Linked DNA regions of Ovis aries. The protein of the gene in region 4 interacts with the protein of the main gene of each other region in a biochemical or structural test. Links are inferred from orthologs where the notes say so. Each region holds a gene or a part of one and is shown on either strand. Other genes may lie near its edges. The genes, in order: FBXO21, RB1, EP300, EID1 and NR0B2.

Evidence for each region.
Region 1: of the proteins of EID1 (region 4) and FBXO21, one has a biochemical effect on the other in vitro, tested with the Homo sapiens proteins (2 studies listed by BioGRID, with this or other methods). The link is inferred for Ovis aries from reciprocal best matches to the Homo sapiens genes EID1 and FBXO21.
Region 2: the proteins of EID1 (region 4) and RB1 form a complex in vitro, tested with the Homo sapiens proteins (5 studies listed by BioGRID). The link is inferred for Ovis aries from reciprocal best matches to the Homo sapiens genes EID1 and RB1.
Region 3: the proteins of EID1 (region 4) and EP300 form a complex in vitro, tested with the Homo sapiens proteins (3 studies listed by BioGRID). The link is inferred for Ovis aries from reciprocal best matches to the Homo sapiens genes EID1 and EP300.
Region 5: the proteins of EID1 (region 4) and NR0B2 form a complex in vitro, tested with the Homo sapiens proteins (3 studies listed by BioGRID). The link is inferred for Ovis aries from reciprocal best matches to the Homo sapiens genes EID1 and NR0B2.

What each region holds. Positions count from the first base shown.
Region 1 is NC_056070.1:57,955,905-57,959,420, forward strand, and holds part of FBXO21 (F-box only protein 21), read left to right. Parts: intron 1-276; coding exon 277-434; intron 435-3,516. UniProt on the Homo sapiens protein: Substrate-recognition component of the SCF (SKP1-CUL1-F-box protein)-type E3 ubiquitin ligase complex.
Region 2 is NC_056063.1:18,567,335-18,570,850, forward strand, and holds part of RB1 (retinoblastoma-associated protein), read left to right. Parts: intron 1-89; coding exon 90-253; intron 254-2,364; coding exon 2,365-2,395; intron 2,396-3,516. UniProt on the Homo sapiens protein: Tumor suppressor that is a key regulator of the G1/S transition of the cell cycle. The hypophosphorylated form binds transcription regulators of the E2F family, preventing transcription of E2F-responsive genes.
Region 3 is NC_056056.1:218,165,860-218,169,375, forward strand, and holds part of EP300 (histone acetyltransferase p300), read left to right. Parts: intron 1-654; coding exon 655-816; intron 817-3,197; coding exon 3,198-3,479; intron 3,480-3,516. UniProt on the Homo sapiens protein: Functions as a histone acetyltransferase and regulates transcription via chromatin remodeling. Acetylates all four core histones in nucleosomes. Histone acetylation gives an epigenetic tag for transcriptional activation.
Region 4 is NC_056060.1:59,480,005-59,483,611, reverse strand, and holds EID1 (EP300-interacting inhibitor of differentiation 1), read left to right. Parts: upstream 1-1,365; 5' UTR 1,366-1,408; coding exon 1,409-1,984; 3' UTR 1,985-3,093; downstream 3,094-3,607. UniProt on the Homo sapiens protein: Interacts with RB1 and EP300 and acts as a repressor of MYOD1 transactivation. Inhibits EP300 and CBP histone acetyltransferase activity.
Region 5 is NC_056055.1:240,027,504-240,031,621, forward strand, and holds NR0B2 (nuclear receptor subfamily 0 group B member 2), read left to right. Parts: upstream 1-1,477; 5' UTR 1,478-1,514; coding exon 1,515-2,055; intron 2,056-3,013; coding exon 3,014-3,255; 3' UTR 3,256-3,602; downstream 3,603-4,118. UniProt on the Homo sapiens protein: Transcriptional regulator that acts as a negative regulator of receptor-dependent signaling pathways. Specifically inhibits transactivation of the nuclear receptor with which it interacts.

The DNA.
Region 1 (3,516 bases), on a different chromosome or scaffold from region 4:
TGAAAGGCAGTGAAGGACAGGGAAACCTGGCTTGCTGCAGTCTGTGGGGTCACAAAGAGTCGGGCATGACTTAGCAACTGAACAGCAGCGGCAACGAGATAGAGTGAGCTTGTCAATAAGAGGGGTTCTTAAAGAGGTCAGGAGTGAAATTGATTCAGCGTAGAGTGAAGGCAGGTAGATCTGTAAGAACGTGAGCCTCGGAGAAGCCACGCCATCGCCTCTGTGTCCCGCTCCCCCATCAGGAAGCTGACGTGTGGCTGCTCTTGTGTTGATCAGGTACGGCTATAACTGTGTCATCTACGGCTGGGACCCCACCTGCATGATGGGCCACGAGTGGATCCGGAATATGAACGTCCACAGCCTGCCTCACGGCCACCATCAGCCCTTTTACAACGTCCTGGTGGAGGACGGGTCCTGTCGGTACGCCGCCCAGGGTGAGTGGCGGGCTCTGTCTGTACCTCAGACACACGTTTGAGCACTCGGATACTGCGGGCAGAGGTGGTCGGTTTGAGAGTCAGCAGTTGTCACACAGCCATCAACCTCATCAGGGCTGATACTCAGCTAAACATAGGTGGGTATGTATTTTTGCAGCCATATCGACCAGTTAGCTGGTCACTGCCCCGGGGTCTTCGCCCCTAGTCACCACCACACCCGTGTTCCAAGCTGTTGCCCACTTCTGTTCTGATCGGTCATTGCCTCTGCCAGCCCTAGTTTCTGAAAGTCCTGTTTCCTAGCCACTGCCTTTGGCTCCCTCCAGGCAGGGAGGGCCAGTCTTTGCCCTGCCCATACTGCCTGCCTGGACTGGAGGGCACGGAATGGGCTCTGCGGGGGAGCCGCCCTGCACCCTGAATCTGGCAGCCAGCAGAGTGGTGCTTGGGAGAGCTACACCCCCAGTGGCCGTCGTGGGAACTGCAGGCCACAGCTCTGGCTCTGAGAGCAGCGGGGAGTCAGTGGGTAGGTGCTTGGCAGGTGTTAGGGGCCACTGCCTGCCCTGACAGGTGCGCACCCAGGGCCCTCGTCGTCTTTGCCTCTCCGTTTAATGGGATGAGTTTATTGCATGCCTGCCTGTCAAGGCATCCACATTGTCCCTTTTATTCATAAAAATTAACACGAATGCTTTGCGGTGCTGCTCTGTGACAGCAGCCTTCCGATGTGTGTGAGCTTCTCTGAGAGCTCTAGATTGCCGTCATTGTTGTCGTCATACGCGTTTGATACGCTAGGAAATTGAAGCATGTTGAGATGTGTGAATTTTACAGAGTACGAACACAGGCAGCTTGGCAAAGAGCCTTCTGCCTAACCATCATGCTGAACCTTTTTGCATCTCACCTAAAACATAAGGTTTGACCTAAGTCAGTATTATGTTCTGGTAAATCCAGTAATAGAAATGTTAGATGTATAAAAATCTCAGAAGTGCCAACAAGACTAGAAAAGGGCTCATGTTAATTACTGTTAATTCATCAGAATATGAGAGAGGATCTTATAAAAGAGAACTTCCCTTTATTGAGACCAGAGGTCACCTAATCTCCATCAGCACTAGGGGAGTTATGAGAGGGGTCAGCGTGTACCCCATGTCAGACGGAGATATTGACAGTGGTTTTATTTAACATAAGAAGCTGTGTCAGAAAAAAAAATCCTACGAATTTTAGCAATCAAGTTATTTGGGAATTGCTGAATGATTCATGGCCGGTTTGCTCCCCCACCAATCACTCAGTGCGCATTTCAGACTGCACGTCATGGAGCGCATCACGAGAACAGAGGACACTGTCAGCTCTTGGGGCCGTGTCTGCGCCCGCACCTTATCCGGTCATTGCCCATTACACGGGGTTGTTATGAAGACTTGTAGTATCTGATATTTGGGTGTCTAGAAACAGCGATATTAACTTTGAAACAGGCTTTTTAGAGTAGGTAAAGCTGGGTGTTTGGTTTCAAGGTGTTCTGAATTTGTCCAGTGTCCCAGCGATTCAGGGATGCATCCTAATCATATCTGGGGCCAGCATGTGCTGTAAGGCTCCCTGCAAGGATACTGTAACGACATTGTTGTTTTATAAATGTAGTATCTGCTTATCAGTTTCACACTCTCTAAAACTGAGATCGAAGGATCACAGGTAAAGGTAGCAAATCGCCCTTTTTAAGGTTAGATGCTGGGACCTGCAGGAAACTCTTGGGACTGAGCGTGGGCATCCCTGTGTGATGCTGCTAGTACTTTACTGGCCTGCGGTCTGCATTTGCCCAGCACGTGTGTGCCCGGGGGTGCTGGGCTCCGGCATTCAGCGCTGAGGAAGAGCTCTGTCATAGCCCCCAGAGGCCGGCCCGCCCTGCCCTGGGGGGCGCTCTCCTCAGGGTTCTTCACAGGCCTGGCCTTCACTCCTATGCGTCCTTAATGGTTGTGTTTGGTTGTTATGTCTCTGTTCTCTCTTGGTAAAGAACAGTTCCTCAGTCTCATCTTTCCCCGCTTTTTACATGACTTTCACTTTTTTGAAGAGTCCGGATCAGTTGGCTTACAAATTGTCTTACCAGTCTGGATTTGTCTCACTGTTTCTTGGCGTATTGTCTGTAAACCAGAAGTTAATCTCAGGTTGTGTTAGATGGAGTTGGGGTTTTTGGCTGGTGAGCTTGCTCTCGCGTGCTGTGTGTTTCACGCTGCGTCTCATCCAGAGGCCGTGGGGTTCCATGTCCACTGTCAGGGAGGCGGAGTTTGGTCACTTGGCCAAGACGGTGACACCCTGTAAGGGATAGTGTTCCATCTGCAGTTAACAAGAAATCCATGGGGTCAAACTATGACCCAGTCCTGGGTATAACCTGTTCCCCAGTGATGACCTTTGTCCTTATGTCTGTTTTAGCTCCTGTTGGCTCTTCCTTCCTAAATCATGATATGAAAGTTGTAAGATGGTGATTTTCTGCTGTGAGTGTGCCCTCTAGTGAAGCAGAGCTTTGCCTCCTCTTGCTTTCCTCTCCACCGCCACCTCTCTCCTCTCCTTTCGCTTGCTGTCTCCTTTCTCTCTCCTTCCCGCCTCCTCGCAAGGATTGCTGGATTTTTTGTTTAGTCAATGTGTTATAATCATTTGGAACAATTTTATGCTCAGGTTAGCCCACATTTAGCCAGGGAGTGATCTTGAGAGGCTACATTTTAAAAACACTTATTTAAATATATTTTTGAACATATATGAGTTAATACATTTGCATTAAATTATTTTTAAACTTTCATCTTCTAAATTTTCAACCTTTGGCTGCATTGATCCTGGTAATCTGGGCAGAGCCCATTAATGAATGCCTTTCTCTTTGCTCTCCACAGAAGAGTGAGTTATAAGCCACATATGTGTGTGCCACCCTCAAATAGTTTTAGCCAGCAGCATTAAAAGATGTTTTCCATCAGTATTTTAATAGGCTCTACAGCATTTTGCGTGTTTGTAATTTTTCCTACCACTAGGGGGGGTGCTTTAGTATTTTTCTGATAGCAGGAACTCCTGTCTCAGCTTCCCTGCATGCTTTTTAGATCCTGGAGAAAGTGACTATCCC
Region 2 (3,516 bases), on a different chromosome or scaffold from region 4:
AAGGCATCCTTTATTTGGGCAAATCTGCTTATAAACCAGTGGATCTCACTGAAGTGTTAAGTAACCTCCTGCTTTTGTTTTTGCTGTAGCCCCCTACCTTGTCACCGATTCCTCACATTCCTCGAAGCCCTTACAAGTTTTCTAGTTCACCTTTACGGATTCCTGGGGGGAACATCTATATATCACCCCTAAAGAACCCATATAAAATTTCAGAAGGTCTGCCTACACCGACAAAAATGACTCCAAGATCAAGGTTTGTGTTTTCTTTTTAGGAAAGCGGTAACAAATGAGAGGGGTTTTTTTTCTTTTTTAATCCAAGCATAAAACCATAAAGCTTTCTTTATTTAGCTCTAGTCCCTAATTTCCTAATTTATATTAAGTGCCATGATAAAAATAAAAATCGGAGGTGTTGGGGGCGAGACAATCTGTTTACTTAGATGGGTTTGCAAATTTACTCATCAACTTTCCTGGCTTCTTGGGTCTTTTATAAACAATCTGAGTACTAGTTTGATCCTAAGTTTCAGATCACTCTCAGAGTTTTTTAAGTAGCCACCCTGCTAAACAAAGTAGATTCCTTTTGCTAAGAATTTTTATTCTAGAATTTATTGAATGTCCTGTGAACTCTTTCTGTGGTTCTGTTCATCTTGCTTATGAAAATGTAGATGACTGATTAAATGTAGATGATGGTAAATGAAGTCTTTAGAAGTCCATCCCTACTTCTGCCTGCGGCCTCCTTGTATTACCTTGGGCAGGTCTCTGCTTCAGAAGGCTGCTGTGGCTCAGGTAAATGATGAGTGTGAAGCTGTTTTAAATTCTTAGATGAAAGACTCCGTGCACCTACAAATCATTATGTTATCTTCTGCATTCAACAGTGGGTGCTCTCTGGCTTTGAAGTACTTCAGCTGACTTATTATATGCTATCATGGGCTATTTGAATCTGACTTTATTTGAATAGTGGAGGCAGATTAATTAGTAAAGTTAATGTAGTCTCATCTCAGAAATTGTTAGCCCATATAGTTGCACTTAATGGGCAAGAAAAACAAACAAGAAGAAGGGGATATATTAATCCTGTGAAAACAGTGTAGTGTGTTTACTTATATAAGCAATGCCCACTCATAAAAATTTCAAACTGTACAGTAAAGGGAAAAGTAGAAAATAACTGGCAAATGATATAAATGCTCCCATGTGCCCCTGTGTTATTTTCTATATATTTAGTGTTTTTATGGTTGAGTATCTATGTGCTGATATCTACAATTTACATTTTAAGCTGCTGAGGTGCATACCATGTCTAATTTATACATTGCTACAGGAAAATGTATACTTAGGTAAATTTTTAATGATGATAATTAACCCATATTATGCTGATAATGATAGCTACTTGCTGATCTTAGTTAATTCACTTCAGGGTTGGAGTCCTTTAGCAAAAAAGTCACATTCTGAAAATCCTGATCAGCTATTAAGAGAGCATCTTAACACTCTCTGTATTCACCATATTTTGGTAAATTATATAGAATGATGGCTACTTATCAAAGAATTGGAGAACAATAAAATCCATATATCTGTTGATTCCGTGTGCATATGATCACATCTTTGTCATATCAGGCTAATGTTCTTCAGCTTTATTATCAAATGCATAAATTATATGTTTCAAACAGGGACAAACTAAGAGATTTCTGATTCTAAGATATGTGTTAAATGTTGTTTTAGTTGCTAAGTCATGTCCGACTGTTTTGTGACGCCATGGACTGTAGCTCACCAGGCTCCTCTGTCCATGGGATTTCCTAGACAAGTATACTATAGTGGATTGCCGTTTCCTTCACCAGAAGATCTTCCCAGCCCAGGGATCAAACCTGCGTCTCCTGCATTGGCAGACAGATTCTTTGTCATAGAGACACCTGGGAAGCCCACATGTTAAACCTTTACCATATATCAGTATAGATCCTAAATAGAATTCAGATTATCATTTATACCATATATAACTTGGTTTTACCAAATATAACTTGACTTTTTAATGAGAAAATGTGAAATAAATTTGAATTGTTTCCTTACTCATTGATTTATGAAGAGTTAAGTATGAGTAAACTTAAAATTTTCTTTTACCCTCTTTCCTTGTGAGCAATGGCAAAATATATTCTTGTAGACATGCAGTTCTTGCTTTAAAAATCTAAGGAATGAGCTTAGTGTGTGACTAGACTAGCACTACCAAAATTAGCCTTTAATAAGTATAATCTGTCAGTGGTTCTAGGGGTAGAAGAAACCTTTGATTTGGTCTTCCTGTGAGTTCAGAATGACGTGTGTATGTTCATCTCTGCATAGTTGTATATGATTTGCATTACTAATTTGTATTTTATATTAACTTGACAGAATCTTAGTATCAATCGGTGAATCATTTGGGGTGAGTATTTTTTCTGTGAATTACTATAGCATGATACCATAATTATAAAAGAATTTGAAATTTTCTGTAATTGAATTTATAAATGCTACTATTCAAGTACCTCATTCAAGCATGTTGCATAAAATTGAGAAGATATATATATATCAGATTTATTTTCAAATCAGGTTTAATTTTAAATCATATTCATAATTGGTGTATTTCAAAACTGCTTTCTAAACACCTTTGAGATTATATGTGTATATACATTAATGTATATACATACAAATATGTATGTGCATTATATAGTCTCAAAGGAATGTTTTAAAAAACAGCTTTGAATTTCACTAATTGGGAGTATGATTTAAAGTACTCTAAAATGTAGCCACCACGCCCACTTGTCTCCTTCTGTACATATACACATTTTTGCTTTTCCTTCCTCTCCAACTTCTAGGATATTCTTCCCTGGTAAATTGATTAGGAATTGGTTACATGCCCCAGTGTAAGTGACAGGCTGTGTGGTGGTCTTTGTTGCAGAGGAATCTAGGGGGAAAGTTAAGCTTTGAAATGGTTATTCTAGTCTGGGAGCCCACTACTCTTAGCTGGCCTTTCCTTACCATCACTAATTCACAGTCCTATATTCAGTGAGCATTACTGAATGTTTCATCCCACCACCCCCACCTATATTTGTTATTTATTGCTGCATAACAAACCACCCCCAGACTTAGGCATTTAAACCTTTTGAAATCTCATTCCTTGTGGCTCACTGAGCAGGCCTGGCTCAGCCGGGTCCAGGGTCTATCTGTACGAGGCTGCGGTCAGCATGTCAGCTGGATCTGCAGTTATCTCCAGGTTCACCTGAAGGACCACCTTTCTCAGTCAGACTCACTTGTATGGCTGTTGGCCGATCCTTGATGGCTGTTGGCTCAAGCCAACATCAGTTCCTTGACACCCGGGCTTCTCCCTCGGGTGGCTGGCTACTCACAACAGAGAGGAGGGAGGGGAAGAGGGAGATAAGCAAAATTGAAGTCAGTCTTCTTGTCATATTGGAAGTGACTTGCCATCACTTTTGCTGCATTATTTTATCAGAAGCAGGACAACACTAGGTCCAGCCCCACATTCAAGGAGACAATTAGTGAGAGCCA
Region 3 (3,516 bases), on a different chromosome or scaffold from region 4:
TTACCAGTCCCCCCTACAGAAGCTGCCTTATAGCAGGTCATCTGACAAGGTCAGATGACAAGGTTTCCTTGTCATTTATTTCCCTGCAGTATATGTCGGTTGCCCTTGCTGAGTCTGAACTACTGAAATCACCCTTAGTCTAAGAATTCTTTATAGCCTGCAGTTTAGACTCCTTGATTGAATGTTTTTCAAGGTGTTTTTTGTTTTTTTTAAATAGTCCATGAAATTTTGGAAAGTGAGTCGAAGGAAATAGAACCAGGGCCTTTGGCTCCCTACTCCCATGCACACTTCACTACCTGCTGCTCACTCCTCTCCATCCTCAGATTTGGTTTGGGCTGGCTCCACCTGAGGTGTCTCCTGGTCCGCAGCTTCCGCTGGCCAGAGACCTAAGGCTGCTGTTGTCTAATGAAGAGAGATCAGCAGAGAGATTTTTCAGTGGGAGAAAATTAATGCAAAAACATTAGTAAACCTTAGTTTACAGCTTTAAAAAGAAAGAGGAGCAATGAAGAGAGAGCAGCTGTTAGAAGGTTATGATCTATTGCTCCATCAGAAACTTGTTCTTAACAGTTACTAACAAATAACTGTTCTAAACTTGTAAACAGTCTCTTAGCAAAGAGTTACTAACATTTCTTGTTCTCTCATGCTAACCTGCAGGTGACAAAGGGTGACAGCAAAAACGCTAAAAAGAAAAACAACAAAAAAACTAGCAAAAACAAGAGCAGCCTGAGTCGGGGCAATAAGAAGAAGCCAGGCATGCCCAACGTATCCAACGACCTCTCACAGAAGTTGTATGCCACCATGGAGAAGCACAAAGAGGTAAGAGAACAGCCCCCAGAGTAGGAAAACCAAGGCCAGGGTCCTCCAGAACTGCCCACCATAGTTGGTATTTATGATGTGAGCACCAGATCATTTGAAACTCAGAAGGAAGAAAATCATACTGGAGAAGGAAATGGCAACCCCCTCCAGTACCTTTGCCTGGAAAATCCCATGGACGGAGGAGCCTGGTAGACTACAGTCCATGGGGTCGCAAAGAGTTGGACACGACTGAGCGACTTCACTTTCCCTTAGGAAAAAAAAAAAGAAAATCATTTGAGGGAGAAGAAAGCAAAAAGAGGGTAGTGAGAACATGAAATGGTAAGGTATCTTACTTAGATCTGTAGCTGTTACAAAGCTATATGGTGTTGGGAGAAGTGTAAGCAGTTTGTCTGACCCTATTGTTTGTAACCGTTTTATGTTTGTGTTTCTGTCCATTGTTCAGAAGATGGGCTTGTTGGATATCTTTTGGGTATCTTTGTGCTTTTGCTTTATACCAAAGCCCCTTAGAACTCTATTTGGCCATTCAAGTTTCTAATGGAACTTTGGCGAAACTAATGAATGTTTTGCCATACTGAAAGGGAATTGGCAAATGGAGAGGACTGAAGAAAAGTTAAACTTTGATATATGCATTCATGAATGCCTTCACAGCAAAGTTAAAACTTGGAATTATTTCATTATTGGATATTTGTTGTTTGGGAATAGAACTGAGTATGTTGGGGGTTTTTTCCCCTTCAACATTATTGTTGGTAAGATGAGGCCTTTTGAAGGGTCATGTTGGTTTGTTTAAACATCTGTTTATCTCCATGTTCAGACATCAGGTTCTTACAGGAAGAGGCTATTAATGTGGAGAGGGAACTGATGGTTTGATTTTAGGTGTGGAACTCTGTCATAACAGCGATTAGGAAAGGCCCTTAGAGTATGTTGTAATAGGTATGACTTCAGTTGTAGATACATCATCTGAAGAATATGTGGGTAGTAGTCTCCTGTTAGGAGTTAGAATCTAATGTAATCATTTTATTAAATTTAGGTATTGTTTTAGCTCTAGGGTGACATTCAGCAGTCAGTCACGATGGCTGTTATTAGAGGTTGGCCATAGGGAGTCACCAGGTGGTTTGATCTGCCCCCACTTGTTAGATACAGTACTTCCCTGTGTGTGATCACATTTTCAGGACACTCCTCCTCACTCTGTGAGTGCTTGCTTTGAGCCACAGTAGCAAACCCAGTATCACAGTCCCCCCTTGAGCTTTTAACTCTGGCTTTGAATGTCTTTACTCAGTGTGGATGCTCTTGTCCTGTGTTGTTCGTGGCGTGTGCAATCTTAGTCCCATGTCCCGTCTCCCACCCCCACCCGGGGCCGAACCCATGCCCTTGCAGTGGCAGAGCAGTGTTAACCACTGGACCACCAAGAAAGTCACTGTGTTCTTTTTCTAGACTCTTGTACTATGCCAACATTGCTGCCCAGATATATAACAAATATTATTGCCAGTTTGCATAGATTTTCAGCCTCAAAAAAATGGACAGGTTATAGTGGGCAATACAGCAGTTACAAGTTCTTGATCTCTTGAAGGTTCCCTTTTACATTTTATTATTACAGAAATAGCAGCTTCCTCTTGCAGCCTTTAAACCAGTGGTTATGGGAATCAGTGGTTGTGTTGTGTTTTTAAACAAAAATTTTTTGTTTCTGTAGCAAGGAAAAAGATTTTGCTTTTTTATTCTTCCCACCCCTACCAATTTTTTTTCCTTCCAAACTTACAGGAAAGTACAGAAGATGCCCTCCTGTTGCTTTCAGCTAGATTCATCAGTTAACGTTCTACTACATTTTATTTCAGTAAGCTCCTTCTAAGACAGAGGACACGCTCTGCATAAGCGTGCTGTGACTTCACACTCAGGAAACCTCTCCCCTGTCACCACCTCCCATCTGCTCCTCTGCTGCATGTTGAGTTGCCATGTCTCAGTTCCTGGCTTTATTTTCTTTAATGACATAGGCATTTTGTGAAGACTCCAGGCCAATTGCTTTGTAGAATATCTATCCGTTTGGGTTTTTCTGATTTATTTCCTTATAATTAGAGTCAGGTTAAACCATGGATTGCATCTTAAAAGTTGACCTCTTTGAAGTAGAATGTCCCCTGTATGGCCCTGTGTTTGACCATTCTTCTTTTGAAGAATTACTGAATGAGATAAGATGCAGATGTTTTAGGCCCACTGTAGTCAGTTTCAAAAAAGAGAACAAATGCATGAAGCAGGAGAACGCGGGCTGTGTCGTGGAGCCTTGCAGGGTGGCCACAGAAGGAAGCCAGGCCTCCCGGCCCCCGGGTGCAGAGCCTGGCCAGCTGCCTGCAGTGCTCAGTTCCAGAGTCCAGAGGGGACTGTCTGTGTTGCAGGTCTTCTTTGTGATCCGTCTCATCGCTGGCCCTGCCGCCAACTCCCTGCCTCCCATTGTTGACCCCGACCCCCTCATCCCCTGTGACCTGATGGATGGGCGGGATGCCTTTCTCACCCTCGCAAGGGACAAGCACCTGGAGTTCTCATCACTGCGAAGAGCCCAGTGGTCCACCATGTGCATGCTGGTGGAGCTGCACACCCAGAGCCAGGACCGCTTTGTCTACACCTGCAACGAGTGCAAGCACCACGTGGAGACTCGCTGGCATTGCACCGTGTGTGAGGTGGGTCCCTTGGCGGGGAGGGCTGGGGGATTCCAGG
Region 4 (3,607 bases):
AACTTGTAATTCCACCTTTCCGCTTCTAGGTTTTTACTAGAGAGAAGTATTGGCACACGAAGATATTCATTTACCCATACAATACAAAAAAAAAAAAAAGGAAAATTCTTTGTGCATAGTTAAGTCAACTACAGTATAGCTACACAAACAGAATACTATGAAAACATGTCTGTGTATACTAACCGCTAAATCTACAAGATTTAGGGGGTTTTTGCTTTTTTATAAGTTGAAGGCAATTATGTAAGACGTTAAAAATATAAGATTTTTCCATGAGACTTAAAAGATTCACATAAATGCACGGGAAAAGACTTACAGAACACACAGCAAATTAAGTGTAAAGTCACCTCCTGCGGGGGACAAAAATGGGCCCATGTATTTCTTCTCTGCATATTTTTTAAAGAACACCAATAATATGCTTATTTGTGATTTAACATTTTTTAAATGAGAAAAATAGAAGAGAGGGATGGATGAGTTCTTAATATGCTGATGTATGGCTAAGAACACCTTGTGGTTTTCAGGTGCAGATTTAGCGGTTATTAGCGAAGAGATAGGAGAAGGGAATGGCAACGCACTCCAGTACTCTTGCCTGGCAAATCCCATGGACGGAGGAGCCTGGTAGTCTGCAGTCCATGGGGTCACACAGAGTCGGACACGACTGAAGCGACTTAGCAGCAGCAGCGCAGAGATAAACTTAGTTAAAACCTTGGAGCAGAAGCGACTGCCTGGGGATGGAGGTAAGAGGAGCGGCAGAAAGAGGAGAGCGAGAAAGGAGAGGGGCGAGAGGGGAGGAAGATTAAGGGGTCTTCAGTTCAGTTCAGTCGCTCAGTGGTGTCCGACTCTTTGCGACCCCTGGACTGCAGCACGCCAGGCCTCCCTGTCCATCATCAACTCCCGGAGTTTACTCGAACTCATGTCCATTGAGTCGGTGATGCCATCCAACCATCTCATCCTCTGTCGTCCCCTTCTCCTCTCGCCCTCAATCTTTCCCACCTTCTGTAAGGGGTCTTACAGAAGGCATATAGAGTATTTTCAAGTTTATAGCCTCATAAGCAGCAGAACGGTTAGGTAAGGTGCCAAGCAATGCACAGCCCTAGGTCTGAAATTCGAACGCACGGAGCGCAGACCACCGAGCACTGGGAATGTCCCCCAGAGGGCGATGGGGGGCACTCAGTTCAGTTCAGTCGCTCAGTCGTGTCCTACTCTTTGCGACTCCATGAATCGCAGCACGCCAGGCTCCCCTGTCGATAACCAGAGCCGCGCTCTGAGCAGGAGGCGGTGTTTGGGGGTCGCGCACACGCACGAGGTCACGCAAGCGCACGGCGCTTGCGCAAGCGCACAACCGCACGCCCGCGTATATCCGAGCTTGTGGAAAACGAACGAATTGTGGGGAGGTTGCGCTGCTTGCACTATGTCTGAAATGAACGAGCTGTCCGAGCTCTATGAGGAGAGCAACGATCTGCAGATGGATGTGATTCCTGGTGAGAGTGACCTTCCGCATATGGAGGTAGGCGGCGGGAGCCGGGAGCTATCCCCGAACCCCTCCCGCGCCGGGGCCCCGCCACAACTGGAGGAGGAAGGCCCAATGGAGGAGGAGGCGACCCAGCCAATGGCGGAGCCACAGGGGCCCCGAGGCCTCGCTAGCCGGCCCAGCCCTGGGGAGCAGCCAGGCCAGATCGCGGGCCCTGATTTCGAGAGCGAGGACGAGGGCGAGGAATTCGATGTCTGGGAGGACGACTATGACTATCCTGAAGAGGAGCCGCTCAGTGGTGCGGGCTACAGAGTTTCAGCGGCCCTTGAAGAAGCCAACAAGATGTTTCTGAGAACCTCCAGAGCCAGAGAAGCAGCTCTGGATGGCGGGTTTCAGATGCATTATGAGAAGACCCCGTTTGATCAATTGGCTTTTATCGAAGAGCTTTTTTCACTTATGGTTGTCAATCGTCTGACCGAAGAACTCGGCTGTGATGAGATCATTGACAGAGAGTAGTTAAATGCTGTTAAGAGAGGAGGAAGCTGCTTGAGGAGAGACCCAACATTCCACTGTCTTTTGAGTTCATTCCAAATAGTTCTGTGCCAATGAAAAACTTAATCTTCCCCCCCCAAAAAAAATTTTTTTTTTTTTGCTGAGTAGAATAAGGTAGTGACTGCACAGTTATGAAAAAGAAAGAAAATTGTTAAAGAAGAGTATCTTAGTACTGTTGAAACCTGTTTTCAAGAATGTCCAGAGACACTTATGGCTTTGACTTTGTTGTTTATTCAGAGTAATTTCCTTGCATTGAGGAAGATAATCTTTTCATGTTTCACTGTAAGGAATGGCTTTGCAAGAATAAATTATGACCAAGACAGACTGCCAGTACCAGAGCCCACTGATGATAATTATATGAGAAAAAGTAACTGATGTATCCATTTTAGGACATAAGATGTCTTTGAGTTATTTGGACTGAAAGCATATTGAGAAAACTTTAAAGATTCAATTTTGTGATCTATCCGAGCTGTGGTTAAGGCTAAATTTTAAGTGTAAAATAAATCTACCGAGTATTCTTCAGTATCTCAAAGGATAATCTAGACCCAAAAGAAGTATGTGTCTTGTGTGCTATTAAAATGTGTTTCCAAGAACAACTGAGATTTTGTTTGTACATATATCTTGATCATTTTTAAAGCTACTGTAATCTTTAATTCAAGAAAATTCATTGCCTTGAACATATTTTAAAGTCAAAACTTAAGACGTCCTTAATAAAGTTTCAAATTTAGACTGTAAAATGTACATGAAGGTACAAAGAACACAAACTCTTGAAACATCTGTATATACTAGAGAATTTTCTGTTTCACTTGCTCTCTTTTTTTCATTTAACTTTACAGGCAAAAGACTCTGGTTGAACTTCATAATGTAAGAACTGTTAAATGAACATTGTCCAGTAAAAGGAAAGCCCTACATCTAAAAAAAGACACTATGAACAACCCTTGAAAGTTTTAAAGGGTTTTCTACCCAGAAATCCACCTCACTATCTGAAGTTTCCCTCTGTCTCCTCCTCTAATTAAGCTTGCTTTTGGTTATGCACCAGCATTCAAGATAATAAAGATTTCTTGTTCTCTGTATTTTATTTGTTTGTCTAATTGTATAATACTTTCTCTAATTCTACTTTTTATTTGCTATACTGTTTGATTGTGTGATTGCAACCATTTTATGATTTAAATTTAATGACTTATATAAGGGAAAGTGCTCCAGCTTCAAATACCGGATTACAAATTAATTGGTGTAAATTAAACTTAGTAAATTCCTATAAGAGAATTTGCCAAGCTGGGAAAACCTGCCAAATCAGTAAGCATCTCATGGTGGTTAGTAAGATGCTGAAGTTCTATGAATAATATAATTAGAAGGCTGTGCCCAGTGAAACTGAGTATACCAGCATGTCTTAAGATTAGTAAAAATGTACCAGATGTTTTTGCTGCATTATGGCAGTAAAGGATACATCCACTATAATAGGACAACTCAGAGCCTTACTTATGTTGCGGTCATCCTGTCTTTTAGGGAAGGGGGTTCTTTTCTGTATAATACAGGGCTGACAAGGATGATCATAATTCAGACAAAGCTTGGCAGGGAGAGGAGCAA
Region 5 (4,118 bases), on a different chromosome or scaffold from region 4:
ACCTAATTATAATTTATCAAAATCTACTTGTGCTTTTTAAAAAAAGATTATTATGCGATTTTAATTGCATGAAAGATGCGTGCCTGTCTGTGGGCCTATTTGCCTTTGTTCCTTAGTCAGGGGAAGGGGGGAGCAAAGTCCTCCTCCAGTATGCCAGAAACTGCTTGGAATTTGACACCACTTTGTCCTCACAGCATAGCCCTGCAGGCAGGCACTATTCTGAGTGAAGCTCTGAGGCCCGCAGAGATTTGGGGTTCAGCCCACAGTCACACAACTAGGAAGACAGAGAGCCAGGAGAGGATGTCAGGGGTGGCGACAGTTGCCCAACAGTGTGTCAGCAGAAGGCTTGCCAAGCTGGCCTTGCCAAGGTCCACAAACCTGACATAGCCAAGGACCTTGCCACCAGCATTCACTGCCCAGGCCCCAGCATCCGAGACAGCTGCCTGGGGACAGAGGAGCCATGCAGCTGGCGGCCGAGCAACGTTTCTGTCCAGATCGTAAGTGGGCAACGTCTACAACAGTGAGGTGGGGGCCCAGGTCGTCACCAGCTCTGGCTGCACAACTGGGCCAGTGGGTCCAGGGGTACAAGCAAGGATTTTGGAGTCAGACTGATCTAGGCTCTGTCTCTTTTTAGTGATGTGAACTTGGACAAGTCACTTGACTTCTTTGAGTCTCAAAAAGCAAGCATTTTGCCTCAGAAGGAAGCTCTGAATATTAGAGTGGAAAGTGCCTGGCGCATAGTAGGTGCTCAATAAACAGTAGTATTTCATCATCATTCTGCCAGGGCTTCTCAGCAGACAAGGGCCCTTCAAGAGGTCCAGGCTGGGGAGAGAGAGTTCTTAAGGACCTTATTTTTGCAGGCCTCTCCGCCACCCAGAACTTGGGGTTAGAGGAAGGGGGCCTTCCTCCAGACTGCACAGCCAGGCAAAGTCCTCCCAGCACCCCCAGGATCCTGGCTCCCTTCCCTGCAGCCTGTTCCTTACTAACAACAGGAGCAGGGCCTCAAGGTTAGGCAAACAAGCAAGTGATAAGGCGCTTCCAGGTTGGGCCCTGCGTTCAAGGCTCGTCGGCTCTGGGGCTGGCTCCCCTGCTGAGCGCGAGTCCTGCAGGCACCAATGGGGACACCTGCCACGGCCACCTGCTGATTGTGCACCTGAGGCCTTGGTGCCCTGGTACAGCCTGGGTTAATGACCCTGTTTATCCACTTGAATCATCTGATAAAGGGCAGCGGGGCCAGCGGGCAGGCGGCCCTGTGCCCTGCACCCGCTGCTTCATTGACTGAAGTGATATCGGGGCCACGTGGAGCTCCCAAGTCTCCCTCCCCCACCACTTCCCCCTGGGTCCTGCCAGGGTCAGTGTGAGTTTCTTTTTTTTTTTTTCAATGAACATGACTTTTGGAGTCAAGGTTGTTGGGCGGTTCCCCCCTCCCTCCCCCATTTGGGGATATAAATAGCACCCACAGCACCAAGCCGAGGGTGGGAGAGCCAGCAGGAAGGCAAAGCAGATCCTCGACCATGAGCTCCAGCCAGCCAGGGTCCTGCCCGTGCCAGGGTGCTGCAGGCCGCCCGACCATTCTGTATACACTTCTGAGCCCCAGCGTCAGGGACTGGCCCTCCGTGGCCCCAGCCCGCGGCCGCTGCCTGTGCAGGCAGCACCGGCCTGTTCAGCTGTGTACGCCCCATCGCACCTGCCAGGAGGCCTTGGATGTTCTGGCCAAGACGCTGGCCTTCCTCAGGAACCTGCCGTCTTTCTGCCAGCTGCCCTCCCAGGATCGGCGGCAGCTGCTGCGGGGCTGCTGGGGGCCCCTCTTCCTGCTGGGGTTGGCCCAAGACACTGTGACCTTCCAGGTGGCCGAGGTCCCGATGCCTAGCATACTCAAGAAGATCCTGCTGGAGAAGCCCAGCAGCGGGGCAGGCAGCAGCCAGCGGCCCGATCGGCCCCAGCCCTCGCTAGCTGAGGTGCAGTGGCTACAGTGCTGCCTGGAGTCCTTCTGGAGTCTGGAGCTGGGCCCCAAGGAGTATGCCTACCTGAAAGGGACTGTCCTCTTCAACCCTGGTGAGATCCCAGACACTCCTGGATGAGGGCCAAGGCTGGAGGGGGGCAGGGCTCAGCCAGGGAAAGACGCATTCTAAGGACTTAACAACTGAAATCCCTCTGGGTCCTGATTATCTCCAAATAGCCATCTTGCAAAACAAGCTCAGAGAGGCAAAGCGACTTGCGAAAAGTCACATAGCCAGGTGGGGGAAGAGAAAGAATGGGGACTCAGGTCTACTGATGTCAAAATCTAGTCCTTACTGCTCTGCTAAGAAATTTCCCTGACCCTTAGGGCAGAAGGGGAGGGGAGGGTGGGCAGACTATGCCTCGGTCACGCCTTCATGAGCAGACTGCATGGAGAAGTTCTGAAGATGAAACTGCGGTTTCAGAAAGACCACGTAGAGAAGAGAAATGAAAATGGGGGTGGGGAGGGGGAAGAGGGAGGAGTCTTCGTAAATTTCAGCCAGGACAACAAATAGAGGAAGACTTCTTTGTGATCTGAAAGGCGCTTAGATGAGAAATCATCAAAATGCCCCCAAGGAATGCATGATCAGAGTAATTCATTATAGTAATAGCAAACACTCGCATTACATTTACTGTATGTTAGGTCGAGTTCTAAAGGTTTTATATACACTAGCTCATTTAAACCTCATAACAAGCCTAGGAGATGGGTACTATTATTTGTCCCAGTTTTATCAACGAGGAACCCAAGGCACAGAGATTGAGTAAATTTCCCCAAGGGCACACAGCTAATAAGTGACAGTGTGGGATTAAAAGCCAGGCCCCCCAGGGTCTTACCCATGGCTCTATCCTGCGTCTCCATGAAGGATGGATAAATGAAGTGAAAAATAAATAAATGAAGGAGGTAGTGATGGGGACTCAAAGGCGCCAAGCTGGTGGCCTTGGGTCTTGGGCCAGTCTTGCCCTGTGGTATTGGAGTAGGCCACTCAGCAGCCATCTTTGCCTTCTCTGTCCGCAGAAGTGCCAGGTCTCTACGCCTCCTCCCACATCGGGCACCTGCAGCAGGAGGCGCACCAGGCACTGTGGGAGGTCCTGGAGCCCTGGTGCCCAGCAGGCCAAAGCCGCCTGGCGCGTGTCCTCCTCATGGCCTCCACCCTCAAGTCCATTCCACCCAGCCTGCTTGGAGATCTCTTCCTTCGCCCCGTCATTGGAGACGTTGACATCGCGGACCTCCTTGAAGACATGCTTCTGCTGAGCTGACCTGCTCCAGCCCAAGCAGGGCCTGGGTGGAGGCTGGCAGCGCTGATTTGGCCGGGCTGTCCCCTGGGTGACCCAGTGCTCCCAGAGGCTTCCCCAGAGCAGCTGGCTCCAGCCCAATCAGGTGGGCCCTCACTCAGCCACATCCCACCTTGACCCTCCTCAGTTTGGACACAGTGCTCCAGCTGTCTGGCCAGCCCTTGGTGGTTCCAGAGCCTCTGGGCCAAGACTCCTCTCCCCTCCTGGGGCAGGGTAGAAGTGTCCGCTGTTGGGCCAGGAGTTCTACTGACTTTGTACGGAACTGACTTAAGTTATTGGCTTTTGTAATAAAAGGTGTGACACCCTTGGAACCTGACAGTGTAGTTTGTACACGTGGAAGGGACTGGTTCATCTCCAGAGTCCCCCGGCCCGCCAGAGGAGCCCAAGAGGAAGGAGCTACAAGTGACACACAAGCCAGAACTCAGGAAACTGGAGTTTTGATTTTTCAGGGTGGGATGCTGATTTCATTTCTGGCAGTGAGATTTATTTTACATGGATCTGATCCAGGAGTTAGTATCAGTTCAGGACCCCACACATCCTTGCCCTTATATCAAGGGGTAGGAGTATCCCTCCCTGTTCCTCAAATCCCCTGCTGATCCCTCCCTCTGCTTCTGCCCCAGCCTCCCTCTCACCTCACTGAGAGTCACCAATAAGGAAAATGAAGCAGCCCATTTCCAAATTGAAAGTTTCCGGGAATCTCTGTCGTGTGGGATCATTCACTTCCCCTGTGGCATCACCGACCCAATGGACATGAGTTTGAATAAACTCCAGGAGTTGGTGATGGACAGGAGACCTGGCGTGCTGCAGGCCATGGGGTTACAAAGAGT